Linked DNA regions of Lepisosteus oculatus. The protein of the gene in region 3 interacts with the protein of the main gene of each other region in a pairwise test. Links are inferred from orthologs where the notes say so. Each region holds a gene or a part of one and is shown on either strand. Other genes may lie near its edges.

What was found.
Region 1: the proteins of pom121 (region 3) and RNA-binding protein with multiple splicing interact in binary tests that used the Homo sapiens proteins (3 or more experiments, as listed by UniProt). The two-hybrid records come from large-scale screens. The link is inferred for Lepisosteus oculatus from reciprocal best matches to the Homo sapiens genes POM121 and RBPMS.
Region 2: the proteins of pom121 (region 3) and nfkbiab interact in binary tests that used the Homo sapiens proteins (3 or more experiments, as listed by UniProt). The two-hybrid records come from large-scale screens. The link is inferred for Lepisosteus oculatus from reciprocal best matches to the Homo sapiens genes POM121 and NFKBIA.
Region 4: the proteins of pom121 (region 3) and homer protein homolog 3 interact in binary tests that used the Homo sapiens proteins (3 or more experiments, as listed by UniProt). The two-hybrid records come from large-scale screens. The link is inferred for Lepisosteus oculatus from reciprocal best matches to the Homo sapiens genes POM121 and HOMER3.

Annotation. Positions count from the first base shown.
Region 1 is NC_090696.1:69,305,161-69,312,535, reverse strand, and holds the start of RNA-binding protein with multiple splicing, read left to right. Parts: upstream 1-4,359; 5' UTR 4,360-4,824; coding exon 4,825-4,887; intron 4,888-7,375.
Region 2 is NC_090703.1:3,280,552-3,288,029, reverse strand, and holds the start of nfkbiab (nuclear factor of kappa light polypeptide gene enhancer in B-cells inhibitor, alpha b), read right to left. Parts: upstream 3,022-7,478; 5' UTR 2,957-3,021; coding exon 2,718-2,956; intron 2,102-2,717; coding exon 1,996-2,101; intron 1,843-1,995; coding exon 1,635-1,842; intron 1,390-1,634; coding exon 1,301-1,389; intron 1,084-1,300; coding exon 826-1,083; intron 551-825; coding exon 518-550; 3' UTR 1-517. UniProt on the Homo sapiens protein: Inhibits the activity of dimeric NF-kappa-B/REL complexes by trapping REL (RELA/p65 and NFKB1/p50) dimers in the cytoplasm by masking their nuclear localization signals.
Region 3 is NC_090721.1:492,928-499,957, reverse strand, and holds the start of pom121 (nuclear envelope pore membrane protein POM 121), read left to right. Parts: upstream 1-4,008; 5' UTR 4,009-4,674; coding exon 4,675-5,225; intron 5,226-5,636; coding exon 5,637-5,852; intron 5,853-6,684; coding exon 6,685-6,852; intron 6,853-7,030. Other genes in the region: hip1 (huntingtin-interacting protein 1), read right to left, coding at 610-726. UniProt on the Homo sapiens protein: Essential component of the nuclear pore complex (NPC). The repeat-containing domain may be involved in anchoring components of the pore complex to the pore membrane. When overexpressed in cells induces the formation of cytoplasmic annulate lamellae (AL).
Region 4 is NC_090724.1:3,910,817-3,918,375, forward strand, and holds the start of homer protein homolog 3, read left to right. Parts: upstream 1-4,555; 5' UTR 4,556-5,116; coding exon of another isoform or gene 5,117-5,121; intron 5,122-5,498; exon of another isoform or gene 5,499-5,710; intron 5,711-6,997; 5' UTR 6,998-7,024; coding exon 7,025-7,047; intron 7,048-7,559. UniProt on the Homo sapiens protein: Postsynaptic density scaffolding protein. Binds and cross-links cytoplasmic regions of GRM1, GRM5, ITPR1, DNM3, RYR1, RYR2, SHANK1 and SHANK3.

The DNA.
Region 1 (7,375 bases), on a different chromosome or scaffold from region 3:
TTCTAGGACTCATCTTCTCATCTTATTATTAATCTTCCTATTCTTCATCTTTTGCGCTTTCTGCATCTTCTACATTTGGTCATCTTTTGCAGAATAGGCATCAATATGGGTGCATCAATAAGGTTATGTAGCAGGTGAGTATTGGGAATGGAAAATGGTACATCCTTTATCTTATACAAATCATCATCTGGAGCAAAAGGATTTTATTCTTGTGGTAATCTAATAATGAAGAAGGGAGCATCTGGTTTAATGCTAATGAAGTTCAATTGCCATTTACTGTACTGGAAATTATCCCTCTAGATTGTTGCCAGCCTCTGTCTCTGTAGAATTTTGTAGGCTTGTAATCCAAGGGAATATAAATTACCAGCCATATACCTAAGAACAAGGATGGAGTGAAAACTATCATATTACAGATCAAATGATGGGGACTGTGCCAACATGTGGGTCCTCTTTCCCTCCCCTTAGAGATCAGGACTGTAAGAATATTCAATCACTACAAATGACACAGAACCTTTGGAAATTTCTCCACACATTTTCTAAGGTCCTGAGACATACTATGTCATGATCAGAATCCCTCCTCTTAAGGGCGCTCCGGCCCTTTCGTATTTTAGTAGATTATGTGCACCTGCCCTCTGTTTGTCCCTCCTTATTTAAGCCGGGCGCTCTCGCTACTCCTGGCTCTGCATTGGAAGACAGATGCCTGGAGAACCACTTACCATCAAGTTGTCCTACGTCCACGGCTTGAAGGCGTAGGCTTCCTAACGGTGTCCTGACCAAGCTGAGTCCGGGGCTCGGAGCACCCGGCCTCGTTATCCAGTTTTTATCTTCCTGGTTCCCTGACCCTCTCCCTGTTCTAGATCCCTTTCCGAATTTTAACTGTGTTTGTTTTGTCCTGGATGGATTCCCGTTTTGGAATTTGGACTGCGCCCCGGATTCCCCCATTTGGACTTCCCTGAACCTGTTTGCCATCGCCACGCCCCCACGAGCAATGGATCACCGTAGTCACACCCTCCTGTCTGTCATCCCGTCTTGATCCTCTTCGTCTCCTCCACCAGATGTCCTTCTCCAGTTCCAGATTATACCGTCTGCATAGGGTCCTGAACTATGCTTCACGGGAACTTTGACGGGCTCCCGTTACATACTCTACACTGATTCTGAACACACAATAATCTACACCTGGCCTACAGTACCATGTCAGAAATGCTGTTTGAATTCAGTACTGCTGTTGCTTGATCAGATAACTCTGATCAGATTACTTAAGCAAGTCCTATCTTTTCCAAATCCATAGTAGTTATCCTTTAGAATCCTAGTGCTTTACAGGTAATCCTCTATTTTATTTGTATTTATTATCATCATAATCTTACATGTCATAAACATAGGCTTTATTGGATTAGATTATGGCACATAACTGAACCAATTTGAAAGAACAAGAAGCAAATCAAGAGCATTGAAGAGAGTTCACAAAGACTTGACCCAAAAGCTCGAAGAAGCTGTATTGGCCTCATTAGTCACATTCAGAGCCAAAGACGACAACCATCCTTACTTGCAAGGGAAAGCCAATGAAAATAAAAGAAGGAATGTTTCACATGATTATCTCTGAGAAAACTGTTTTCCTGTTTTTTTTGTTTTTTCTTTTTACCAAACTGTACTTTTTAATAATTTAATCAATTCTTTCATAGTCCTCATATTTTACTTAATTGATTATTTAACCTAGAATGTTTTTTGGGTCAAACTCAGAAATGTAGTTTCTAACTAATAAATCCACTCCATGTGTTTTTGTTCAAATTTAAAGCAAAAGCTGTACCTTCATAAAGCTCGTAACTTCCTGTAAAGAAAGCAAAGGAGGTTCATATCAGGATTATTGTTATTTTTTAAAATGCCATTCAAAGTCTCAGAGAAATCTTTTTGAGAAGCCTCCTTTTGAAGTTAGAAAGAGTTAAAAGGCAAGGTAGCATTTTGCACTTACCTGCTCTAGGATTGCAGGGACAATAAACAAGTGTAAACCCATGTTGTTGTTTTATCTTGCAAATATGATTAAAACCCAGTGAGTTGTAAAAGCTGTAACTGTATCTCTTCTCTTTCCTGTTATATTTTTCATTTCTTGCTGTCCGTCTTTTTACAGATAGTGTTAGTTGAATGGACTGGCTGGAGGGGAATTCCAGTCTCATAAATTGCCAAGTTATCTGGTTTTCACTGATCTGCATAACCTTAAATATGTAGCAAGCTTATCTAGTCAAATGCCTCAACTGTCCAAACACACTTCAATAGTTATGTTCCTCGTCGGTAGTCAAACTACCTCTACAAAATGAGATGCAGTAAAAATGACCAAACTCTACATCCGTACTACTTCCAACACATAAGAGTAGGCTCTGTGTGCGTCCATTACTACTGTTGGTTGTTAAAATAACTGTAACTAGTCAAGCAAGAAATAAGTTTTCTAAATCCATGTTAAACATCCACTAGAACCCACAATTATACAGCTAATCAACTAGTTTTGTTTGGATGACTCTAACTTTACAACTTTTAAAAGCTTTATCAGATCTTCCAGTTCTTTGCTATGGAACATGGGCCAGCATTTGCCATACAGGTGTTAAAGGCATTGGAGATGATAATATGAACTGGTGACGGAGTACATTGAAACATGTAGTCAAACGTATTTCAATTATACCCTCACTCAATAAGGAGGGTAGCTGGTAGTTTTTGTGGGTCCATTGATCAACTCTCTGATCCCTGATCTTGAGTCACAATTTCCTTCTGGTCTGAGGGATTCGGTTGTCTTGTAGCAGATTTCACACACGTTCACTGTGTGTGTTCACACCAAGAATCTCCCACACATTAGTTTCATACAGTATGTGTTTACTAAGTGTGTTTAAACTAAGACCAGTCTGGCATCACTTTTAGTGTATTCTAGCTGAGCATACCACTGCATTTGTGCATTTAGAATGCCACTTGCTCTCTAGAGCACTGTGGAGTTTCTGGTGGGTCAAATGTCCGTGACAGATGGGTGTGTTGGAGGTGTATATACAGAATTACCATCCATTTCCTAACTGCTTCTTCCAATTCAGGGTCGTGGGGGAGCCAGAGCCTATTCTGGCAAGCAACAGGAGCTAAGCAGGGTTCACCCTGGATAGGACACCAGTGCTTTGCAGAATAGACAGACACACGCACATTCACATCAGGACCAATTTTCACAGAAGCCAGTTAACCTAATGGTATGTGTCTGGACTGTGGTAGGAAACCTGTGCATCCAGAGGAAAGCAATGCAAACATGGGGAAAACACACAAACTCCATAGAAATAGCAGATAGGTCTGGAATTTATCCCAGAGCCACAACAGTGCAAGGCAGATATGCTAACTACTGTGCCGCTGTACTGCCTTCAGTATATCCTGCAAATTGGATGAATATAAAACAAGAAATGTCGATTGTAGTTTTAATTATATATGAGTCCTATGGATTTAAAATATATATATATGGACCATCATTGCAAAGTGCAATCTACTTTACAAGAAAACCAAAAGATAAGCGTATACAGGACCAAAATGTAGTGTACATAGACATGCCTGGTACTGTATCTCCTTTGACAGCAATCAGCTGATGAGCTGTTTCCAAAGATAAAAAAAGCAGGTAAAAACGAAAAGGTGAAGCCTACAAAGAAAAAGAAAACTTTTGTAGAAAGTATTAAGCATAGTGATCATTGTATCAACTTTGGCCTTTCACAGTTTGAAAATCTTGGCATCATTTAAGTAAGACTGAATAAAGTTGCAAGTAGCTCCAAGACAAACTATTGACTTAAAGATCCTGAATGAAGACTGCTTGGACAGAGCTATACACGATATCTCAGCCACCCAATTATTATTCAATTAAATGTCAAGGGGGATTTGAAGGAAGTTGTTCCTGCCAGGAAGCCTATGCACTTTAAACTGCCTGCATCAAACAAAGGAGAAAAAAATCAAGAGACAATATCAACAACTGACTTCCTCCGTATTACATACAGTATTCCTTATTTTGCATAATGTATGCTGGTGAGCGAAAGCTGTTTCTGTCTTTTAAATGTAGTTTAGGCGCATAAAAATTTCTTTAAAATTAGAACTAAAACACATTTTAAGACCCGTGTTCATTGTTTAGTATCTATATGCCTACTTGAAGTGCGTATCACAACTGATCAATAATCGTTTTGTATCGGGGTATAAGAAAGATTGCGCTGATACAGCTACATGAAAAATACCCCCAAAAAACCTTCTTGCTGGTTCTCGCTCTCTTTCTTAGCATATCTTTTTCAGCCTGAAGCGCTCTTCTGTTTCGTATCCTTATTATCAAGTTGCGTTTTTAGAAACATTCCTAATGGCTTAAGTGGAACACAACATACAGTACGACCTGCCCCCTGTTTCTCTGTACCCAGCCTCCCAATGAGAGAAAGCTTACTTCTGTCGGGATCTGTCTGACGTTCTGGCCATACCAGCAACAAAAGAGAAATGATCAGGTTTTCTTCACACAGCAGTCAAAGTGGAGTATTCTGGAGACCTAGGAATTGGAGTTCATAGGCGTCTTCCCGGAGTAACAGCCTGAAGTGAAACTGGCAGGATTCCCTGGCACCCAGACTCTGAGACCCTAGTCGTTTCTTGATCTTGGTTTCCTCGTTGTTTTTGGCTTTCTGGTTTCCATTCAACGCCGAAGGTCTTTGATGTTGACTAATTGAAGAGATTAGCATTCTTCAATTTCTGGACTGTATACTGAGGGTCTAATCTGCCTCCTGGATATCAACTGTACTGACAGCTGGATCCTTAAAAAAAAGCTTACATAAACTTGAATTCGGGCTTTACAAAATGAACAGCAGCAAAACTGAAAAAGAGAACGAGTTAAATGAATATAACAGCCAAGAAGAAGAGGTAACATTTGTATTTCAATTCCTTCTATTCGCGACATATTACCATTTTTCCATATAAAATAGATCCCGGATAAATCCCGTGAGAAAACTTTTAATACATTTTGTTACTTCCAAGTGTCTTAAGGTTTGTAAGACGTATTAATAGTACATACAGTGTGCACTCGGGCTTTAAAGCTGATGCACTCGAGATCAAGTACTTCGTGTACCCTTTTCGAAACCGAGCTACTGGATGTTGACTTTGAGAAGTTTTGGTCCCGAAATTGTGAATGGAGACGCGTATGTTGCTCTCATTTAACTGGATTGGTAGTTGATCCAATACTAAAGCACCCACTAATCCATTCATCAAATCACTGTATACAATATATGATTAATTAAATCGTATAATATATTGAAAACAACCAGTGCAGCATCGTTTTAACAAAGAGTTCGCCTGTTTTCGACCAAAGAAATGTGTGTTAATCTTAACCTCACTATTAACAATCAACATTTTTTAAACCAAATGTTATTACATTTTGCAGGCGTACGCGTTTGCATATTAAATGTTTGATCGTATATGAACGCTGAACTAGATAATGTATTTCCAATAGTTTTTTATTGCCAATATCGAACCGCTATTTCTAATATTTATAATGTACTTCATTCAATACTATGTCTATTGTTCAAAAAAATCTTTCGTCGTAAAGTTAGTTTTATACTGTATAAAGGTTTTTCAGTTTTCTTTACGTACCCATGTGAATACATAAATCGCCAAGTTTATAAACATATTTAGAATTCATCAAATAAAATTCATCATCAGCACATGATGATATTAATGACTGGTGTAACTGGTTTACCAGTTTTTATTATTGGAAATTAATGCTTACTTGAAGTTGTTAACAAGTGCATTTCAGAAAAGCAGATATAGAAATTAAGTTATTTTTTTCTAAATTGGGGTTGCAGTAGTATTTGTGTGTAGGTTAAAGGGTGATTAAAGTGTGTTGCTTCTATTCAGAGACTGCTGTGACACTGCAGAGACAAGCTGTGTTTGGGTGCGCGCATAGAAAAAAGACGCGATAAAGGGTCACATTCATGAGTCATGTGCGTAGTTCATAAATCAGTTGATTCAACGACGGCTGCCTTCTTTAACACCTCCACCTTCAAAGACATATTCATTGTCAGATATCATTTAAAAAAGTATGACAATGAGTGTAAATAACATGCTTCTTCTATACTGTAACTATGGAATGATGTCCTAATGTCAGTGCACACAACAGCAATCTCATTGCCTTCAACTCCTCAGATTGGAGACTGCAGACCATCTTCTGAGGCCATAGTCTGCTAAGGTCATGGTTTCGGAGATGGAAGAGGCTGGAGACATTTTTTAGGACATGGAATCAGTTTGTTCGTATTCTGGAGTGTCCTAATAACCCATTTAGTTCTGATGCTAACATAACTTCTATCTGATTAATTTCTTTGGACTATACTGTATGTCAATGCAGACATCACAGATGTATGTTCTCATAATTGAATCTTCATACGCCAAGACCGCAGGTGGTTCATTTAGACAGATGTTGAACAACAAAGGAGGTTGTACATTCCCCTTATGGGAATGGGACAGTTGGGAATGGTTGCACTTTCTCCAGAACATAGAGTTTACAAGTGAGGTAGTGGTTTCCCATTCATTTACTGTGCTAAAAGGTTCACAATCAACCATTTGCTAATTGCTAGACAAGATTAGACATTCAGGTACCTCAGGTGCCTCATTTTAAAAGGATTCGCACATTTAGTGTACTTACAAAATCAACAACACGGAGAGCATCTTCAGTCAGTCTGAATCTGAGCCTGAAAATGCAGTGTAATCCACAGACATGTTTATACTGACGATCGTGGAGATCGAGAACAATTTCATCAACAATATTAATGACGCTGACTTTGCAAGTGAATTTTATGAAATGGTTTGATGGGGTTATTAAATAATTAAGGTATTTGCCAAGTGGCCTTCCTTAAAACCCAGAGGGGATTTGTTTGAAACCCCACAAAAACTGAACATCCATAGAAGTAAGAGTATACTAAGAAGGAACAAGCGATAACAGTTTTTATTCATCAAAGTGCCAGTCGCAAATATCACATTTATTAGTCGATTTAGAACACAGATGCACATTGTGTTAGACTTGCAATATCCCAGAAGCTGAGATATTGAATCCCAAAAATGAATAACATTTTTCATATTCTAACAATGTCAGTAGGCAGTATTTTTAGATTGTCTCTGTATTTTTTAATTTGTTCTTAGTGAATATTTGTTCTTAGTGAAAACATATATTAGTGAATATTATTAAAATTCAAAACTATAGTAACTTATCAGTAACAAAGAAATGAAGCATACACTTAAAAGTCATGAAATACATATTTTTCAGACAACTAAATTGTTACTCAGTTTTGTTTTAATAAAAATGTACCCTGAACAATAAATATACTTAATAAAGAAATACATGTGATTCCATGTTCAGGTT
Region 2 (7,478 bases), on a different chromosome or scaffold from region 3:
TGTATACAGGTATGGCTCCTCAGTTAGTACTTAAAACATACAAGATACTCACACACTCGATAGTGTTCATGTATAATAACATTTCATTTACTTCAAGAAACTTATTTGAAAAGAGTTCATTCAAAAAAAATAGATTTCTCTGTATAGTACATCATTTACATATTTACACTCCAAGGTGTACAGCTTGCAGAAATTCCGGGTTGTGAAGACCGAGTCAGAGTCCTTTGGAAATTCAGGTCCAGTACAGGTTCTGTGTGCAGTGAACTGGTTGTCTGGGTCCCAGTGCAATCCTCCCTGGGCTCACAGTGTTGATCAGTTCCAAAGCCTGTCTGTCCAGCTCCCCTGTGCCCCGCCCTTCCTCTCCACAAACACTTCCCACGCCCTCGGCCCGGCGACACGGAGTCTGGCCAGTGCTCCTGCTGGCACTGGCTGCCGGCCAGGGCAGGCTCTGGGACCTGCCAGCGGCTGTGTTCTCCTCTGCTCCTCCAGCAGAGCGCGAGGCTCCCGGGCCCGAGCACTACTGCCGCACCAGCTGAATGTCGTCGTACATCTGGAGGGGAAAGCAAAGGAGCAGGTTAGGCTCTGGGGCCCGCAGGAGTCAAGAACCCCCTCCCACACACACTTTTCTGCAGAGGTAAGAGAACCGCCACGTCTAGCTTCCTGAAAGGAAACCAGTGACCACCCACGGCTCTCGACACATCCAATCAGAGCTGATGACAACTAGTGTCACGTTAATTCCTGCTCCTGCTTCAGTCGAGTGCCTCATGCGTCAACACCCCACCCCCACCCGGTTCAGCCAAGGACTGGGACAGCGCGGACACTTACGTCATCTTCCTCGTACAGAGGCTCGTCGTCGCTCTCCTCCGCCTCGCTCTCCGGGAGCTCCCGCAGGTCCTGCGCGGTCAGGGCGTACAGGTGTCGCTGGATCTCCGCGTTCTGCCGGCCGTAGGTCAGGTGGTACGGCGTGTGGCCCCCGTAGGTGAGGCTGTTGACGTCGGCCCCCTTGGCGACGAGGAGCTGCACCAGGGGCAGGTTCTGCAGGTCCACAGCCAGGTGCAGGGCGGTCCGGCCGTTGCACTGCTCCTGCGAGGACAGGGCGAGCTCACGTCAGACAGGCCACACGCTCTCCAGAGCCAGCGGAAGCACAATCTCACAGCAAAGTCCCCGCTAAAACTCAAGGCTCTAATGGTGGACTGGAAGACGTGTTCCAGAAAAGATGCTCAAGTGTACCACCCAGCCTCTCACGATATGCCCCTTCGAACCCCGAGGAATTGCCCAACAAGGCAGAGCACAAACCTACCTGCACATTGATATCGGCACCCAGCTGAATGAGGTTCTCCACCAGCGAAAGATAGCCGTGGATGGAGGCCAAGTGGAGGCAGTAATGTCCTGGAAAAGGAGAAGGAAGAGCAAGCTGGTCAGTGACAGGCCACCATGGTTCAGCGTGGTAGTGGGGCTGATCCTCCGATCTTTCCAGATATTCAACATCGGCACCAGGCCTTCTGTTTCTGGCGTCAATGTTGGCGATTTCCAGCTCAGAGTCTTTATTTTTACCAAAGCCAGCTGACTCCGAGTTAACATTAATAACATTAATAAAGGGCATCACTGCACGACGAATGCCAACGGTTACCTACCGTTGTAGTTGGTGGTGTTGAAGATGTAGGGCAGGTGCTGTGTGCTGCCCTGGGTCAGCACGCTGAAGCAGTGCAGAGAGCCCTTCTTACAGGCGATGTGCAGGGCCGTGTTTCCACAGTCATCCGTCAGCCTGGGGTCGCAGCCAGCGGTCAGCAGCCTCTCCACAACCTGGGGCTGCTCCATTATCACGGCCAGGTGGAGAGCCGTCTATTTGGATAAGAGAAAGGAAGAGGAATGTCAATCCATGCTCATCAACGTCTTCACTGCACATTAAAATCTGAAGGAAAAAAAAAACCCCCATTAACAATTCCTCCCCACTAAAGGGAACTAGACAAAAACATCCCTTCTGCTGGAAATTACCTGTCTCTGGTTGTTCTGGACGTTGAGGAACGGGTCACCGCGGCAGCGCTCGATAATCTGCAGGGCGCAGTCCGCGGCCTCGTGAATAACAGCCAGGTGGAGCAACCTGGAGGAAAAGAAGATGAGAATCCATTCAGTTACACGGTTTCTGGAGGGACTGGAAAGGAGGCCGATGGGGGGGGGGGGGGAGGGAGGGAAGTGCTTGAAGCAGCACTTGCGTGTTGCGCAAGCCTGGGTTTTCGGTGGTAATTTCCACTAGCGAGGTCCTGACACATGAGCGCCCCGCCGCTGGCGCCGCGCCAGGGACTTTCCGCCGCCGCCCCTGCGAGGCGCAGAGGACTCCGAGCCCCGCTGTTTACGTCAACCCCTCCGACTAACGCCCAGCGCCTTCTCGCCTCAAAGACCGAAGGTTTTTTTGAACTCTTTAAAAAAAAAAAAAGTTTCTCGCATGCACCCTTTTTGTCTGTGCCGCCCGACTCCCTGCAGACCTGCGTGCTCTGGTGCGCGATGGTCATTTTGTTTCCGAGTACGAACCCCCCCCCCGCTTATGGTGTCGTTTCTATCTGAACACTTCTTGATTCTTCTGTAAAAGCACGGCATATGCTTGTTACAAGCCACGCCGTTTTCGATCAAACCCCAGCTCATGCACTCGTACTAAGCGCCCTTCTTTCCTCGTTATTTCGTAACGCGCGGGTCCTCCGCGGTCAACAAATTCAACTTACGTGTCTCCGTCCTCCGTCCTCTGCAGTTTCCACGGGTCGTTGTGGAAGTCATTCCGGTTGGCCTCCGTGGGATTCACCCTCAGGTTTTCCATGTCCTGCAGGATTTCTTGATATTCCTCCTCTTTCAAAGAATCCAACCCGCTGTCTAGCCTCTCGTCCTGGCATTGCAAATGTTTCCCATGCTTCAGATCCCGATCCTCCATGTTGTAATATCCCTGGTTACCATTAATAGCTTCCATTTTGATCTTGAGTCGCGCCTCCGACAGTCCTCTCTCTAGCTCTGAGCTCAAAATGAGTGTCGGCGCAGAGCCCGTCCAATATAAGCCAGGCGAGCAAGGGCGGAGCAACAGGCAGCCGGGGATTTCCAGTGACTGGCGAGGCAGCCTTGTGAGAACATTGTTAGCAGCTGGGGAAACTCAACAAGGGTTTTTTATGGGGAAAATTCCCCCCCAGATCAGTCCGTTTAGTAAGAATGAAAATTTGTAGTTTCCTATCAATATAACCTCGATTTTACACTATAAGTTCCCGCGCTGCGGAGTCGTGAGGGCTTCTAAAATGTTATTTGTAGAGAAGGGGTCGGTAGTTTTTAACCCTTCCCCACGCATGAGAGAGTTTTAAGTTTCTTTAAAATCACGTTTGGTTTGCACGATATTGTACGACATCGATCTCCAGGCAGGCTTCCGAATAAGTACGCGAGATGGGACATTTAGGGATTCACAAATAATTTCCGAATTGCTTTGCATTGCTTTAACAACAGCTATATGTATATTTTTTTAAAAACAAATCCAGCCGTTTTATGTTACTGTAGCTTGGGAAGTCGTTGCAGTCAGAACTTAAAATGTTAAATAAAAACAGGGTCCTGGACCATGATGAACCCTGAAGCAGGGAAGTGTTCTGTAAGCCAGAGAAAACAAAAGTCTTTTTGAAAAGGAGTTTTACAAATGCTGAGCTCCCCCCCCCAAAAAAACAAAACCTGCATTGTATTGTAAGTACGTTGCAGGTGAGCGCTGTTCTTTTAAACCCGCACACGACTATTTTCACGGTGAAGCTACAGTATTTTACATTCGGCACTGTGCACCCCGTCTGTGTAGATATGGACGGTATCGGCCAAATAAAATAAAGGGGATCTGGGTGCCGGCACGGGTTTCCATGTTCAGATAGAAACGGGGAGCATTTGAGAAAGAGAGAAAATACGTGATGGAAATGGGAACTCAATTTAGGAGGTTCGTTTGGGAAAGATTCACTTCCACTCGAGTTCAGAGTCCCACTGAATATCGGACAACAGCGCCTGGGAGGGTTGGGTTTTTTTCTGGGGGAAATAACCCACGGTTCGAGCCGAGGGCGTTTTACTCCTGCACAGGCTGGGGGACTTCAGCCAATAGGTGGGGTTGCCCCTAAATATTAATTTGAAAATTTAAATAATATATATATACTCTTATACAGTACTCTGTTTGAGGACATGTGTTATTGATAGTATTGGAAGGCTATACCCCAGCTATTTTATTGTTGGGTACGGTTTTAAGAGTGTGTGTTTTTTTTATTAACCTTCGAGGTACGATTCAATTATTTTGCATGTGGGAAATTGAACATTGCACGGTGCTTTTTAAATATAAAGTGCTAGACATGTCTGACAAAGACTTTTCCCACACAGGAATTTTGTTTCTTGAGAAAAGAAAAGCACCAGACGGCAGAAAACATTTGAAAAAATTCTCTTGGTATTCTGTTGTTTTGTAGCGGAGATGGGAATTTGTAAATAAAAATCTTCTGATCATGCTCGTGCTTCAAACAATAAGTTACCAAGCAAAGAAAAACCTGGACTTTCCTCATGGAGAAACCCTCTTAACAGCCTGAAACCCCTTGAAGATGTACTCTTCCCCAAAAAACTCAGAATGTGTTCATGAAAATCCCGACATTGCGATCTAATGCATGCATAGCCGTTAACACTGCAGGAAAAACAAATCTTTGCAAAAGTAGTTAACTGTTTTTTTTGTAATGTACGGGAAGACAACGACAGAATCCAGGTACAGGAGAGAAGAGCTTATGAGTTATAACTTTGCATAACGATTGGTTGCGCTGCTGTAGTGTTTCTGGATTGAGACAATTTTATGTGTGCGGTATGACGTACATTTATCTTTTCCTCTGTTTTAAAAAAGCACCACACTTTAATTAGGTCACTATTGCTATGGTTAAAAAAAAACTTTTCAGTTTCTTATATATTTTTTTCTGAATGAAAGCATCCATTCCAGAATTACGGCTGTGGGAAACTCCACCTGATCGAGGCTTCACCTGTGACATGAGATGAGTAACCCCGGACATTTTCTGTTTGCAAAACACTGTACTGCATTAGTACAATGAATTTTACAAACATAGCAACCGCAGCATAGCAACGGTATCGAAGCGCGAGTCCTTCTTCAACTCCACAGCCCCCCCTGGCGGCCAAGAGACAGCAACAGCTTTCGCCTCAGTGAAATGCTGGTTTTTATAGCGTGTAGACTAAAAACTGTCAGAAACTATAATAATAATAATAATAATAATAATAATAATAATAATAATAATAATAAGCCAGTGTGAGCACTGCCTTTGATAAACGGCTCTATTCCAAAAGCAGACTTTTAATCCGAATAATCCATTCCTTCATTTCTTTATTAGTTTTCGCCACATAGGCACTTTTTCACAAGTATTGTCGTCGGGCCATGCTGTTGTTTTGTATCCTCGAGCATTGTTTTCAAGCCTTTGTAGTCTGCATTTTATTTTATTTTTACACCACACTGAAGGTTTTTCGCAAGGTCAAAGTGCCTCCAAATCACTTAATTTAATAAAGTCATGCTTCTTAATACTTCCCTAGTGGCATACTCTCCAGTGCCACATCTCTGTCACAGAACAAGCCGAATGAAAATAAAAGACCAGACCTCTGTTTTTGATGGTGGGACGACGCCCCTCTGGTTCAGATACCCGTGTTGTCAGTTATACAACGCTTGGACACAGCTCTGTGGCGCGGCATCACTGCAGCAAAGCGCATACTGACCACCGAAGCAGACAGGCCTGTCACTTTCTTAACACGATTAAACTACGGCTTTTGCCTCCTGTAAAGGTGAGAAGGGGACTAAAGAAAAGCCTGATGGAAATTATACAGTACATCCTTACGTTGACCTCTGTGGGTGTGAATGGCAGATGAGTTTTTAAACAGGCCGTGGCAATGCTGTACCGGACACAGCAGGACGTCTCTGCTGCTGCTTTGCAGGTGCCTTAATACCTTCTCAGATAGCTCACCACCTTTTGAGAGGGTGGAAAGATTGACCGCCCCCACTCTCTGTCTCTTTCCCTGGAGGAAGCTGTGAGGTGGGTTACGCCTGAAAGCTGCCGTGTCCTAGCAGGACCGTCAGTCAGCTGAGTCCATGTGTACTGAATTTCTGTGCTGCTTCGGCGTTTTGCTGCAAAACTCAGTTCAACTGCAATGAACTCTTTCACTGAGGGACAGTTGTTGTTTTTTCGAAGCTGCTTTAAAATGCGTAGTTCTTTCCTATCCTCATCTGTTAGCGCCAGGCGTCCTCTTGCCAAACGGCCTCCCACTTCCCCGCGCTGAGGTGGCTGACATTCCCGCAGTGGGAGAGTCCGGGGAATCCCTGCAGCTGGAGCTTCCAGGCAGGACGGCTCCGCGCAGGGCCTGAGCCCAGGGGCTGCAGCCTGTGGGAACTGGCGTTCCAGCTGGGCCTCCGAGCTCCGGCTCCCAGCAGCTCCTGGGGCCTGGCGGGAGCACACCCACTGGGTGGGGCAGACACTGCTGTGAGTCAGAGCCAGGGCTGGGATGCAAATCCACGCAAGGCCATACTGCCGCGATTAAGCAAGAAATTAGCCGTGCGCCCAGCGAGTGGGTGATGCAGCTGACTAGATGTGTACGGTTTGTGAAATTACCCGCCCAGGGTTTTATTCTGCGGTCTGATATAGTGATTCCTGGGACAGCTGGGCTGGAGCTGTCTATGGGAAAGCTGCAGTGCACTTTACAATGTGCAGGAACATCTCTGTATGAAGCTATTGGCTCCTGAACGAAACGAAGGGACAAAATGCATTAATTACATTTTGAACACAGATGAGCTTTGCTAAAGGAAACAGGTAAATGGCAATGTTCTCTTGCTGATGTGTCTCGAAACGGCTTTAACATCAAGGAGGACAAAGATATTTTCTTACAGAAAAGCGCCCATTGATCCATGATCCAAGAGAGCCCATGCAATAAGCACTGCTGGACATCAGGGCCCAGTGTGCAGCTCTGGAGGAGCCGGATGAAAAGCCAGGGGCTACGAGTCCAGCAGTGGTGAACATGCAGCACTGCACAGAGAACAGAGGACATTGATTCAACACACAAATTCAACAAAATAGCTGTTTAAATAGCTGCTAGGCATTTCATGTCTCATCATGGATCAGTCTTTACGCTCGTTACACCATGACACCGGGAAACTCCTCTGCGAGACGGAGATCTGCAGACACCATGGCTAGTCCTGATGTCTTAGTACTATCGATGTCTGCGCTTGAAGTTCACAGGTTCTCACAGCACATTTGGCTGTTGTTTGATGGGTGTTTGAGCTGAAACATCCAAAGTCACAGGTTAGACTTGTAGAGTTTACAAATCCAAGCCTGGATTTCTTGCAGATAATCTGAGCTTCTTTAAATGATGTGAAAACTCTACTTTTGGGCAAATGTTTAGTATGTACTGTAGGTTACATTTCTTATATTTTATATACATAATTAATTGTCATTCCTGTTACG
Region 3 (7,030 bases):
GATCGTGAATAACTAACTCGCCAACATCCCGGTCCGTGCGCTTACTTGTAAATCAGCCCTTCAAGCCGCTCTGACAGCTAATCGCTACGGCCAGCTGACGGATCTCACAAGAACAGGTTAGAAGTCGTCAGGAACAGATATCGGAACTGACAGCAGCCGAGGAAAGGCGACGGCCCGTTCTCACACGGTCACTTGAGGCGAGTTTCGACAAAATCAAGCCGTATTGGTCCGAACCGAGGGCTCTGCCCGGACGCGCCCGCTCCCCCAGGACCGCTTTCGCGAGTGGCAGGCGGGGTCACCTGAATTTCCACGCCGGTCCGAGGCGCGACAGAGCACGACGCCGGGCCGGAGGGGCAGGGCCGGAGGGGCAGAGCCGGGGGGGGCGGGGGGGCCCCGCTACGTCACTCCCCGGCTCGTGCCCCGCGAGAGCCGCTCGAGACCGGCTCGAGACCCGCTCGCGGACGCCCGCCGCGCCGCCTTTCCCCGGTTGGGACTGGGACGGCTGGGAAATCGCGCTGGGAACCTGCCGGCCCTCGCAGGAGGCTGCCCTGCCTTTTCCTCAGGACCCGTTACACGGAGGACCGCAAGCCCCCCGGGCGCCGCTCCTACCTGGCTGCGCTCGAAGCTCTCCCGCTCCGCGTCCAGGCTGCTGGCGCCCGCCCGGCGGCTCAGCACCTTGGGGATGGGGTTGGGGACCTGCTGTATGGAGCTCTTCACCCGGTCCATCGCGGCGGGCGGCGAGGACGGAGTGCTGTTTTAGAATAGCACGACCAGGCAGTGAGGGAAACGTCCAAGCGCCCCGACGAAGTTTCTTCGCCACTCTGTAGTTCACAACTCTCCGCCCCGGGAGCTGCCTTCCAGCCTGCCTGCCGAACACCCCCAGCTCGCCGAGGCGCACCCGGCGCAGGCCCCGCCCACACTGAAAACCTGGCGATGTGATTGGCTAGTTTAATACAGTGGCCCACCCATTGCTCGTATTTCCGGCTTCTTCTTGGGCGGTCTCGGCGTCAATCTTAGTTTAGCCCCGCCTCTGGGATGATCGGAATGTCCATCGCTATAGTCCCGCCCAGAACCCCCCTCCCCCTTTTACGACACCCGTTCTTCCTGACGTCCAATTGGTCAATTTCCACATCAATCACCCAGCTACCCCGCCTTCCAGAGCTCAAATCTTTTACCTGATTGGTTGTTGACCCAGTTAGTCACTTGCGTCTGGGGGAAAAAAAAACATTGGGGAACCATGTCTCATTGCAGTCTTAGGTTAGTAAGAGCTCTACTCAATAACATCCCCAAATTGTGCAGAATGTTCTATAAGTATTTTAGATAAAATGTGGGATTCTCTGTACGTTTCGGTAGGTTTCCAGTAGGGGAAAACTGCTCCCTAATGGCGTGGCGCGTTGTTGTCACGCCCTTATCCATGACTTTGTTTACATTGCCAGAGTTTGTGTACCGGCTGTAGATGCGGGTCCGTTACCGAGACCGGAGGCACTGTCAGTCTGACACGCTGGACACGGGCCTGTGTCCCGACACACCCCCTGGCGGCACCAGCACATCACTCAGTTCAATACCCAACACGGCTCTCGGCGGAGTCACCCAAACACGACCCAGTCTTTATTGTACCGAGCATATTCCTGTTCGCTGCGTCATCTTAAGCATCGCTGATCCCGCAACGGTGAGGGTGATCTTTAAATTGAAATGCTATCCGTCCTGATTGCGTTTCCTGGTCGGGCGAGGGAAGGACACTGATGGAGACAGTTAAAAATAGTCGCACGGTATGCTCCGGAACTCATTCCAGAATCCACTTGAGACTTTTTTGCAGGATTCTGTACTGTGTATATAACCATGTTTTATGAATCAGGTCGCTGTCAAACAGTTTTGCATCAGTTGTGAAACTTTCATTTCCGTTCCAAGTTTTTTTTTTCCTTTCTTTTCAGTTTTTTCCCCCTTTTCTATGGTCTGTAAAAGTTTCCTCCTGTATTTGTCTAGAGTGGCCCAGGAAGGCGCTGCTTTCTGGGACTGAACCTGGCGGGTCCTGGACTGGTCCTGGACGGCGCCTGAGCCGGCCGGGTCCTGGACTGAACTCACCCCGGAGTCCTAGCGGGGAGCGCGGGAGGTGTGTCCGTTGGCCTTCGGGGAGATGGCGAGAGGACGAAGGAGGGGTGGGCAGTGCGAGGTCGCGGGGCAGAGACAGGGCGCGCTCAGGGGAAGCGGCCGGCTGAGGAAGTGAGGTGTCCCCTCAGAATTTCACAGCTGGCTGACAGAGAGCCTCTCACATCCTCCCTCCCTCCCTCCTGGCGGCTGGCCACGGGCCCACAGCCGTCCACACGCCCCCCCACCCAGGAATCCCGGAATCCCAGCACCTGCTCCGACTCCACCCCCATCCCACCCTGTGAGTGTCCACTGTTCTCCTGGTCCTTCAGCCCCCTTCACACTGGGCTTTAGTGTAGCCCTGTGGTGGCCCCCCAGCCTGCATTGTGCTTGACCGTACCTCTGTGCCTCGCACTGTTCACACCGTGCTTCACCGGGCTGTACTACTGTACGGCTTTACTTCTTACAGGTGAACCAAATTGCGTCTCCTTGCACAATAAAGCAGAGGAAACGTTCTGTTTATCCGTCTTTCACTTTTCCAGAGTGGAGTCATCTTCTACACGTTCAACTGCCCACTCCAGCCTCCAGCGCAAAAAAAGCCTTTTGACAAACAAAACCTTTTTGTCCTCACAAAAGCACATCTAGGGCTCTTCAGTAGCTGGAACCTTTTCCTCCCCTCGGGACAGAACAATCATTTCAGCACCGTCGTTCTGCAGCAGGCCTGTGAAAGGTCCCGCACGAGAGCTCTGGAAATCCTGCGGGATTACAGAACAAAAACCTTCAAACACTGAACCCAGAAGGATTGTTTGCCCATTACAAGCATTCAGGGTATGTACAGGAGTCCCAGAGGATATGGCTCCCCAAGTCCTAAGAGTTTCATTTTTCAGGACTGTCTTGTAGGTGAAGTTATGGGAGTTCCCAGTGCCCACACTCGCACTTCTCTCTAGCACGTTGAAGGAAGAAGGGAACGTTTTATTGTCCCATTAGAGGACAGCTGTCCATGTCACTGAGCCACTATACAACCCAGTTCAATGAGAATGATTTGTCAAAATACAGTGCAGCGTAAGGAAACATGGATACTGTTAAAGTTTGTTTTTGTCTGGAACGCAAATTCTCCTTCTGAATTAAGAAAACGTAAGAGCATTGCAATTAAGGCGAGTTGAACTGCTTAGGATTTCTACAGCAAACGTTTAATTTGGAGTCCTGTGGATGTGAATGTGCTGCTAGTGAATTTGATCCTTTTTGCTCAAAAACACTTCTGCCAGTAATTAATCTCCCATTTCCAGTCATACTCCTGGCTGCGTCCCAGGGCCCGAAGGAGAGAAAGTGAGACAGTGCTATCTGCTGCCTCCCCTCCAGCCATAATAAATCAGTGTCTTTGTTAGATCACAGCCCAGTGAGAGAGCACCGTACTGCAGTATTTCAATGTGTTAAGCTCCTTTAACATAGCTCTCAGGCCATGCTTTGGCCCCATGAGCACTAGTAGGGGGCCTGCTTACTTCAATTAACATGTAATCATCCCAGATTAGTGCTAAATCCTGGTCTGTGAAACTGCAACTCACTGCTCCTTACAGTATAAAGGCAGACTAAAGTCCACATAACAGTTCTCAGGTTTGCTGTGGTCCAGCAAACAGAATAGTTCTGCATCAAACCAGTGTATTATCTGGACCCAGATCTCTCTCAATGAGAAGAAATGAAATTCACATTTTCTGAGGCTGTAAATTTAACTTATCTCAATCGACTGACAGAAATGTGGGATATGCATGATAAAGTTAAGCAGTATCCTGGTAATTCCCGGGGCAAAAAGTTTCCCTTTGGAAGTAAGGTTACATGTTTTTTTTTGTGTTTGTAAACGCTTTTCCTGACACTCCACTTTACAGGTAATGGGGATCCCCTCCACCACCAGTGTGCAGCCCCACCTGGATGATGCGCCAGTACTCTCACACACAGCAGCTCTCGGTGAGGAGGAGAGCAGAGTGATGGAGCCAGTTCAGAGATGGGGATAATTAGGAGGATTGGTAAGGGCCAATGGGAAATTTGGCCAGGACACTGGGGTAACACCCGTAATCTTTTCGAGAAACGCCCTGGGATTTTTAATGACCACAGTCAGGACCTCGGTTTTACGTCTCATCCGATGGTCGGGGTCTTTTTACACTCGAGTGTCCTCGTCACTGCTGGCATAAAATATGAGTTTCACCCTGATCACACCTGATTCTCTTGAAAGTTATAATTCTAATCAGGGAAATTGCATCCTACAATCGTGCTGTTGCCACAATGCTTTGTAGTGCATCTGTCATGCGTGGTAGTACTGCTGCACCACGCAGTGAGAACACATGAAAACACTTTCTATGGTGCTGCGGTAAAAGTTCAAGAGGAATCCCAATATAAATAACCGACTTGACGGTGAATCGGCCGACGTGCAAACCCGCTTCGTCGGTTTAGGTGACTGTGGACAGAGGTCAGCCCCTGACCGGGCACAGGCCGGCTCCCGGCGCCTCTCCTGCCCGCCGAGCGAGACCGGCCCCCCCGCGCGCCCCGCGCCCGGCAGGATTATGGGATATTAAAGTCCTCCGGCGGCGCGCTGCCGCCATGTCTCCCAGAGAGAAGCGGCGGATCGCGCTGATCTCTGTGGCGCTCCTGGCTGTCGCGATTTTCTGTTTCGCTCTTTATTACATACCGACTTTCCTTTACGTCTTGTTCATCCTTGGAGTGTGCACTGTCGCCTGCTTCTGCCACGCCGGCGGCCCGTCCCAACACACCAGGCTCGGCCCTCAGCCTCGGCCTGCCCTGGCCATCCCGCCGGCGCTCAGACGCTGGTTGCCGGGCAAGACCGCGAACGGCGTGCCCTCGGCGGGCCGGGTCAGCTCCCGGGGCCACCAGGGCCGCCCCGGCAAAGGCGAGCTTGGGGATTCGGCGGCGCCCAGAGGCGAGCGGCGCTGGGAGGTCCGGGGCGCTTTTCAGAAGGAGGCAGAAGGCGGCGGCAACGGCTCGTTTGTGTTCAGCCCCCGGGACCTGCTGATGGGGAGCTACCTCAGTAAGGCGGACAGCCCCGGAGCCGGCGGGGCGAGCAGGGAGCTCCGGGAGAGGCTGGCTCGGCCCAACCATGCCGTGCACACCCCCAACAGGAGACTGTCATTCGGGTAAGACCCAGCCGGGCGAAGCGGCTCAACCTCTGTGCTTTGCTACTGCGGAGAGTGAGACGGCGCTGTGATTAAAATAAATCGGGTTTGTTCCTAAGTGCTACAGCGCCGGTCTGCTCGCCTCTGTTTAAAGCCAGCGGCGGGGTTTCCCTCCAAGATTTGAAAATGTGGGAGTTGCTGCTTCGCCGCGGTCCGGCCTCTCCGGGGGGGCTCGGCTGTCGGACCGGGCCGGCTTGGTGCAGCAGGGCTGGAGATGAAGTGCCCCGAGATGTTTGGGCAGCTGGAGCCCTAGGGGGGGGGCTCCGCGACCGGATAGGAAGTGGGCTGACCCGGACGGGCCGGACGCAGACGCTGGCGGGAGGTGCGAGCTGCGTGCGGTCCGGTGACGGTCTGTCGCTCTGTGTGCTGCAGGGACAGCCTGGGCGCGGCGGGCCGCTTCAGCATCACCCCCCAGCGGCACTACCCCCTTCAGCAGCCGGGCTGCCCCTCGCTGGGGCCGCTGCCCCCCGTGCAGTGGGACGGCTGCCGCAGGAAGAACGTCCTGACGCCACGCAACTCCCCGGCGGCGCGCAGCCCCGTGACGGTGAAGATCGCCCGGCCGGAACCCAGCCGGACCCGCTCCCCTCTGTGAGTATGGGCCTCTCCGGCGCCAGAGCCACTGCTGCCACGTGCTGTCCTGATCGTGGCCCTCTGTCCATTGTCATCCCATACAGTTCAGAGTTGCGGGGGAGCTGGGGTCTGTCCCTCCCTGTCTATACTCCCCTTCGCCACAGGACACGCTCGCTCTGCCCCCCTCGCACGCACGCTCGCTCTGCCCCCCTCGCACGCACGCTCGCTCTGCCCCCCTCGCACGCACGCACGCTCTGCCCCCCTCGCACGCACGCTCGCTCTGCCCCCCTCGCACGCACGCTCGCTCTGCCCCCCTCGCACGCACGCTCGCTCTGCCCCCCTCGCACGCACGCACGCACGCTCGCTCTGCCCCCCTCGCACGCACGCACGCACGCTCGCTCTGCCCCCCTCGCACGCACGCACGCACGCTCGCTCTGCCCCCCTCGCACGCACGCACGCACGCTCGCTCTGCCCCCCTCGCACGCACGCTCGCTCTGCCCCCCTCGCACGCACGCACGCACGCTCGCTCTGCCCCCCTCGCACGCACGCACGCACGCTCGCTCTGCCCCCCTCGCACGCACGCACGCACGCTCGCTCTGCCCCCCTCGCACGCACGCACGCACGCTCGCTCTGCCCCCCTCGCACGCTCGCACACACGCTCGCTCGCTCTGCCCCCCTCGCACGCTCGCACACACGCTCGCTCGCTCTGCCCCCCTCGCACGCACGCCAGGGCCATTTTTCCCAGAAGCCAGTTTACCACCAGCAGGAAACCCACATGAAACACACAAACTCGCACAAACCAGGTCCAGAAGGGTCTCCCCTTCTCACACTGTTTCTGGACTGGCTGCAGGTTTGACCGGCTGTCCTCTCCGCTGACCGCGCTGGCTCCTGGGCTGGGGGCCTCGGTGGACCCCTGCTCGAAAGAAGCCGTCCTGACCGCGCTGAAGGAGGGGCGCAAGAGAGAGGTGGAGGAGGAGGAGGGAAGGAGCTGCAGTGAGGGACAAGAGAGCAAGAGAAGGTGTGTGCGGTTTTCGTCCACACCCGTGACTGTCTGACAGGACTGCAGCTCTTCATGTTGCTGTCTCTCATTCTTTCATTCCATTGTTAACAGTCTCGGCCATTTTCTCCACCAGTAAACAGTTGTCTTCAAGTCGTGATGCCCTTGTGTGGAGTGCCCGGGAGGTGTTGTGTTTGGC
Region 4 (7,559 bases), on a different chromosome or scaffold from region 3:
ACGCGTGTTGTCGAACCCCGGGCGCACGTCTTCTACGTGACGGTGACGTCACGCCACGCTGTCTTACGGAAGACGTGCAGCCGGGGTTAAAGGTGAATTAGCTTCATTGCTCTGTTATCCTTCCCACTGATGGCTGCTGTGTGGGGTCTGTGAAGTGTTTTGAGTGGAGTGCTGTATAAATGTAAGGAATTATTTGGTTTGTAATTGTAAACAGACTAAGTTTAATTTTCATTCTTCTTATAGAAGTAGTAAACACTGCATAAAATCTTTTTAGCAAAGCATGCAGTGACTAATAACGTTGATTGATCATTGGATAATAACACCCCCAATCAATTTTTAGTAGTCGTGAGTGGTACTCAAAATACTTTCAACATATGTATAAAATAGGTATGTTTTTCAGAGTTTATGTTTAGTAATCTAATACATCTGACTGCTTAATTAAAAGTGATTTTTATTCTGGGAAAAGTAAAATCTGGACGCATTTGTAATCAATAGAGGGCAGCAAAGGATTTAAATGAGAGAAAATGTTGTTTGCCTTACTGGCATTTTAAAGATTATGAGCTGTCCTGGAAAATGGGTTTTGTAGGGGTGGTGAATGCGCAAACAGCACATTTTGCATATCAACCGTTTCTCAGTCATCCAGAATTAACAAACTTTTCTTTATGTTGTAAACTTGTAATTGCAGGGAACGTATTTTAAAGCATCACCTGTAAATACTGCTGCCAGGCCTCTGTCACGGTCAGTGCTATTAAACTAAAAAGGCTTTTTGGAGCCACTCCATGCATTGTGTAGAACTGCAAAATGTAACTTTTTACTTCTCAAGAAATTATAACAGTACTGGACACGTTTTTCATGATAAAAAGCCAAATGTTAAGGATGTGTTAAGGGACAGATAGACATGCTAGTAATCTTCACTATTACGTTTCGAGAATGTTACTGAAAAGTAGGAATTCATAGTTAAAAAAAGCAAAAATCGTTTAAGAAGCTTGTATGAAACAAAGCAATACTGCTATCTCCTCAACCCCGCCTTCATTATAAACACACCTCTGCCCTGCCTAATAAGGAGGTGGGAGGGGCAACGTGTTAGAAGGTGTGTCGACCTATAGCGGTCTGATTGGAGGACGTTTAGGGAGGGGCGTGGTCACTCGATCCCAAATCCTGTCTGAAACTCATTTCCTCCATTCTCGGAGACAGAGACTGTTAATCATATCTTTCTCCGCCTGTACTGATCTACTAAAATTACATTTTACTTCTGGCTACAAGGGAAAAAATCTTTGAACAGGAAAATAAAACCGCAGTTGGTTGACAGCTGTTGTTTATCCTTTGAGAATAAACTATAGATTTCCCTTTCGTTCGTTTTCTTTTTTTAATTGAACGCCGATTACGCCTCGTTTAGAGGGGCTAAAGGGGATTTATTCCGAGCATTGTTTAGGAAAGTACAGCGAGCAAATTCGCCGGTGTTTATTACAGTATACTGCAGCACGTTTGAAAAGCTCTACGCTGAATCGGAGGTTCCCTGAGGAGCGAAAGAACAGCTGTTACAACACTCACAATACAAACAACGAATGGCATTTTTACAGTGTTTTCTCAAGAGTATATAATGACTGAGTTCAAATCTAGGGCATTAACTCAAGTACTGCCACCTTCAGAGAGGAAAATAGAACATCAGCATAGAATACCACGCTAAATACACTACATATATTTGTCTGCTTCTGTATTATTAATCTATATTTCACACGGATAATGCTATTTTCTTTTCAAGATTCCTTCAGCATGGTGATGTGAACAATCGGGGTACCTTTCCATCATGTGGACTCACGCTGCGCTTCTGTCACGAAACCAGTCTTTACAGCGCAGTCAAGTCACAGGCTAGTGTGAGAGAGATCTCACCAGCTCTCATCATAAGTGGGGACATCTGTGCAACACTGTTTTTTTCTTGTCAGGTGGTTTAAGGACACAACATGTTGAGAAAAATCAGTTTTTATTTAATCCGTTAGAAAGACAGGTTTATAGTGAGACACACAGCATTATCCCCAGACCTGGATACAGCCAGTTTTCATAGCTGCTGGAGAATAGGGACTTTTTTAATGCCTGCATGTGGCACTTTCCCTGCCTGTCTGGTATGATATTTGCAGTCAGAAAATTTACTGTCACCGAGTCTTGGGAAAGCCAGGAATAAATCTCAAAATGGAGGGATTGAGCCAGACTCCTGGCTAATACAGTGTCTACTTGGGATTGATGTTCACATGTTATGCTTAATGCTATGAGACCCAGTTAGTTTGCAGTGGAATATTAATGGAAAACAGTGATTCAGTATGTATGATCAGGTCAGTCTGAAACTGGTATTTAGTTATATAGCACAAGTTGTAGAGAGCACATGTGAGTGTCCTTTCACATTAATTATATTTTAATTTGGTGTTTCCAACTCTTTGTCCTATTAACCTGTTGTTCAAACCAAACAACAAGAAAGACAAGCTTCTGAAAAGACTTGACAGTGTTAACTGAGAAAAAAGGGGATGTGAAAAATACCAAAAGAAGCTGAATTTGGCAATTTGTGCACCATCAGTGTCTTAGGATTTCACTTATATATTTGGCTTCAAGTTTTACAGAACACAGTTGTGTATACGGATAGATCACTTCAAAGTAGATCAAACACTCCCTTAGTAAACCAGAAGAAGCATATTGTGGGGGATTTTTATCTGGTCATCTTCCACTTTAATGGCAGGCTTTGGACTTGCCATGTTTCCGAAGTCTGACGGGCAGCTTGGTTGAATGGAGCTGCCGTGTGGGTTTGGGGGTGTCGGAGTCCCGAATGGGGGGCCGGCAGCACCGGCACATAGAAGACGAATGAAATCACCCGCAGAGCCGGGGGGCTTGAAGAAAGAGGGGCGTTCTCGCTTTCCTCCGGTCGCGTCAGCTGCTCTGCTGTCTGAGGATGAGCAATGGGTTTCATATTGGCCTCTTTAAAGCGGGAGATAAGAACAGAGTCTGTGATTCCTGTTAACGCTTCATGTCAAAGGATCCTAAAGCACTTTCCATTTAGGAGGGGATCCACTTCATCGACACATGGGAGCCCCTCTGCACCAGCAAGCCCACTAACCAGCAGATCAGGAGCAGACGTGAGCTGAGTTAAGAGAGAGCTCTAGATTGTGCGAGCCTGGGCATTTGAAGAATTTAAGCATCACACCAGTTACCCACTCAAAAAGTGCCATATGATCTCTTGGGATCAAGCTGTCAGTATCATGGTTTAACATCACAACCAAACGAAGGCACCTCCTATCTCAGTCACTGTACCGAGACATTGGTTTAGAAATTCTGACGGAGCAAAGAGCGCCACCTACCGGTCCACCAGCACCACTTGCAGTGGCAACAACCCGATTTCCTTGGAGGCTTTCTATCCCAGGCCCAGCCTCGATTAGCTCCTGAGATCTGATGGGATCAGGTGACACAGTGTCTGCTAACATCTCTGATCACAATTCACTCTAAAACAGGGCAGATCTGAATTCATTTAATTGTACAGCAATGAGCTGGGACATGAAGGGTCAATACCTGAGCTGACTTACCATCTGCTGTGTGGAGCTCAGTTTGACATTTCACATCCAAAGCAGTGCCTCTTACAGCATGCCCCCTTCATTAACTGCATATTGGCTTGAGTTTTTGTATTTTCTGTTTCAGTCCTCTCTTTCTTGTTTCCATTACTGACCTTACAGAGCTTCTGAGATCTGACAGGATCTTACACCAATGCAGGACAGCTGCTCATCTGGATATAAAAGACATCACCAAGGTGACACACATTCATTAAAGCCAAGTGGAAAGAAATCCGCACACAGAGTCACTATGGAGGAAAATAAATGCCTATTTAGGAATCCACTGCTCTCAGCAGTGTCTGTGCTGCCAGCTCTAGTTTATAAGGTGTAATACACTATTTCTTGATATATGCTCTTAACTGAGATGAGTTACTACTGCATTACTCTTAGCTTTGATATCCACATCCCATTGACAAGATATCTGAGGTGCACAATAATCAGAGTTGTGCTACAGAGTGTTGTGCTACAGACACAGAAAGGACTACTTTCTGCTATGACACTGATACAGCGAAGTCCAAGAGTTTTAAAACTTCTGTAATAGTATCCTATATGAGTCCATATATGTAATGTTTTCATCTGCAAGTTAAGTCCCCAAAGAAACTGAAATCAGTGGTGCACAGCTCCATTCCTGGCACGTCGCAGTGTCTCCAGATTCTATCCCACTCTGCTCTGAATGACCTAATTGGCCTAATCGTTAGTTTCACTGGACCAGTTTAACTCTTTTCGAAGATCTACCGAGGATTTAAAACGACCCAGAAAACCTGCTGGATTCTGGACACTAGAGGAATGGAATGGTGCACCTGTGGTTTAAATAAATGACAGCTCTTTAACAAAGGGAGCGGGGGCGTTCAGACCCGCAGAAAGCACAGAGGGGAGTTTTTTAAAAACAGAACACTAGGTTCGACAGCTTTAAGCGATGTGTCATTCCGCGTGTAACCAGCAGGTGGCGAACAAGATGGTTTAAAACCTAACTGGAGCAAGAACTGCCATCCAGAATGGGATTGTGGCAGCGTTCTCAGGACTGGAAGACACCATGAGCCCGCAGAAAAGTAGAGCTAGCCCGAAGGTTTGACAGTCGTCATTAAACAAACGCAAGAATAAACTCGTTTGTAGACTATTGCAACGCGGGAAGCTGAAATACAGAACATGAGTGTTAAATCATATGGTTAGCGGAGTGCAGAACGAGGAGAAAGAGGAACTTGGCAGTACAGACTCTGAGAGACAAAAGGACTGCAGTACAGGACGAAGCACCTTCCGAACTTGCAAATACAACGTTTGAGAACATTTTTTTTCCTTCTGAAAAGACTCATAATTGGCGATTCTTGCACAGCTTGATTCCGGGGGGCAAGCACAGCCAAGAACTCATCCCTCTTTTCATGCAGTGAAATTCCGGTGGAAATTTAAGAAGCATCCGGATCCGTAGACAAAAGAACGGGAAAGCCTGACAAAAAACCCTCTCATGACCAGCTAGAAAACGGGGCTGCACAGCATTGACATAAAAACAAAATCTACACAGGAGTAAAAACGAAATGGGGTGAGTTATGTTGTTATTATTTTTTAAAACTTAAAAAAAAAAATGTTGTTAATAGCAGAATGAGGGAAAAGTTAAGGATGGCGCTACATTGACCACATTGCTTCTATGTGGATATTTATAAATAAACTGATGTTTAAGAACATAGCCTCCTTCCAGTGTCTCTTCGCGGATTGACGAATACCAGCAATGCACGGAGAGTATCAGTTCATATTTGTTTTCCTCGCATTGGATGAATTTCTTTTGGGAGGGAAAAGTGCTTTTCTATGAGCTAGCTTCAGAACGTATCTTGACACGTTGCCCTTGGCGGCGTTTACGAAAGCATTCGTCTCGTGTTGCTGGATTAGTCTTTAAAAACCGCTGCGACAGTGGCTGGGTCTGATTTTTTACTTTCTTTAAACGCAAACAAACTTTGAAGCAGGACAGTCATGCTGTGGCTGTCAGTGGCGGAGCCCCCCCTTGATTTTACCGGTATGAAACTAATAAACGAAGTGCTAAAATGAAAATCTGGGACCTGTGCATGCTTTTAAATAATTACCCCCTCCCCCCAGCGCCAGACCTAAGCACATACTGTATGCAGTTAACGGGGCATGTAAGTATGGATCATTTATTTCGAAATATACGCTTTAAATCGGGGAAGCTAGTAAAATGTAGGAGGGATAAGGGAACAGGATTTAAAAGCAGCATAAAGGTTGGAGGAACGCCCTCCTACTATGTTGCAAGACAGCTGAAAAACCTACAGTATTTATGTCGCCCTCAAGTTATTCTGCTTAAGTGCTTTAAAAGAAACCTCTGTTGGGAAAACTTCGCGTCTTCAGAGCGTGGGAACACAGAGCTGAACATTCATATTTAATGAAACACAACTCGGGCGCAGAACCTTCACGCCAGGTGACATGACTGGAAAGACACTTGAGCGAGAACGTTCGCCAGCAGAAAGCCTGAGAGCTCCGCTGTGACCTTTCGCGGTCTCCAGGATTCCACGGGAGACAGTTCTGCGTGGGTTGCCCTGTCCTGTCGCGAGAGTTTTCGTCTATTAAAGCCACGTGGCAGAGACGATTTCGCCGTGCTGTTCGGAAGCATCGTGTTGCGTTCTAAAGTAACGATACCATCGGCGATTAGTAACATTTAATAGTAGCAGCGAATTGTGTAATTGGATCATAGGTGTTGTTACAATGTACAAAAGTGAGACAGTATTGGAAAGGATCTTTCGTGACAACTTGCATGTAATTGCACGGATATGTGGAGTAAATGTGCTCCGTCCACACACACACACCCGGCTTGATATAAGTAGGTTCACTTTCTTGTGCACTTTCTGTAAAACACGGGTGGGTGTGATTAGTCACGCACTGGAGCAACACAGTGGGACTCCTCTTGTGTTGCCTTTATGCCAAAGGAAAATTCTCCAGTTAGGACCAGCGCTCTTAAATAAAGAGAAGTTTCACCTAATCAGACGATCTTCTGAAATTCTCTGAAAATGTTTTCAGTAGCTGCATCAGGTGTCGTCTCTATTGTTCCTGAAGTTGGTTAGGGTGGAATAAGAAATAAGGTTCATGCCCTGGTATTGACTTGGACACTTCTTCTGAGTGGCTCTGTATGCTCTAGAGCAGAGCTGAAACACTATTCTCTGCTCTCTATCAGATATTGGCATGAAAATCTGGAGAATTTCTATAACCGCCTTCCCGCATGTGTTGTCCTATTGTTTGTGTCTTGCTGGGTATTACTAGGTTGTAATCAGTGACCAGATATTGCTGTAGAAAATGTTCTTTCGCTGTGACCTTGTCTGTCTGCAGCTGCTGCTGGTTATCCAGCTTTCTGATGGAGTTGCATGCTCTTATCCTGTCACTTACACCTTTTTTCCCCTTTTCTCTTTCTGCTGTAGAAAAGGAGCTCTTCCTAGCCTGTAACAATGTATCCACTACACAGAGAAAGGTACTAGTAACGTCCTTCGTGTGTGTTGTGTGTTGTGTGTGTGCGTGCCTCTGTGCTCAGTCAGGTAGTTGCAGGCTGTCCTGCCTGGGAGGTTGGGGTTGGGTGGGGTATTTCAATAAACACATCTTGAAAAGGAAGGTCCTTTAACTTCTGCTCTCCAAAGAACCCCAGTGTGTATTACCCAGGGGTTGTGGTCAGTTGTGATTCATATCCTGGGAAAAAGTTTGCAATAGTCACTTCGTTATGACCTACATTATTTAGTGACTGGTTCTACGGATGGCATTGCAATTACTCGTCTGCAATGGAACAGACCACAATAAAAAACTGTAGAGCAGTTGATCGTGGACATTATGCCAAGTAAATAGTTTATAACCAGTGGGTTTATTTAACATGAGTTCTGTGGCAGAAAGGCCATTGGACACTAATATATGGCTCCAGTGTTGTCTCTTATAGTGGCTGGCAGGAAACTGTCAAGCCCCTTGTGACTTTTATTGAGACGATTTTCTCTGATA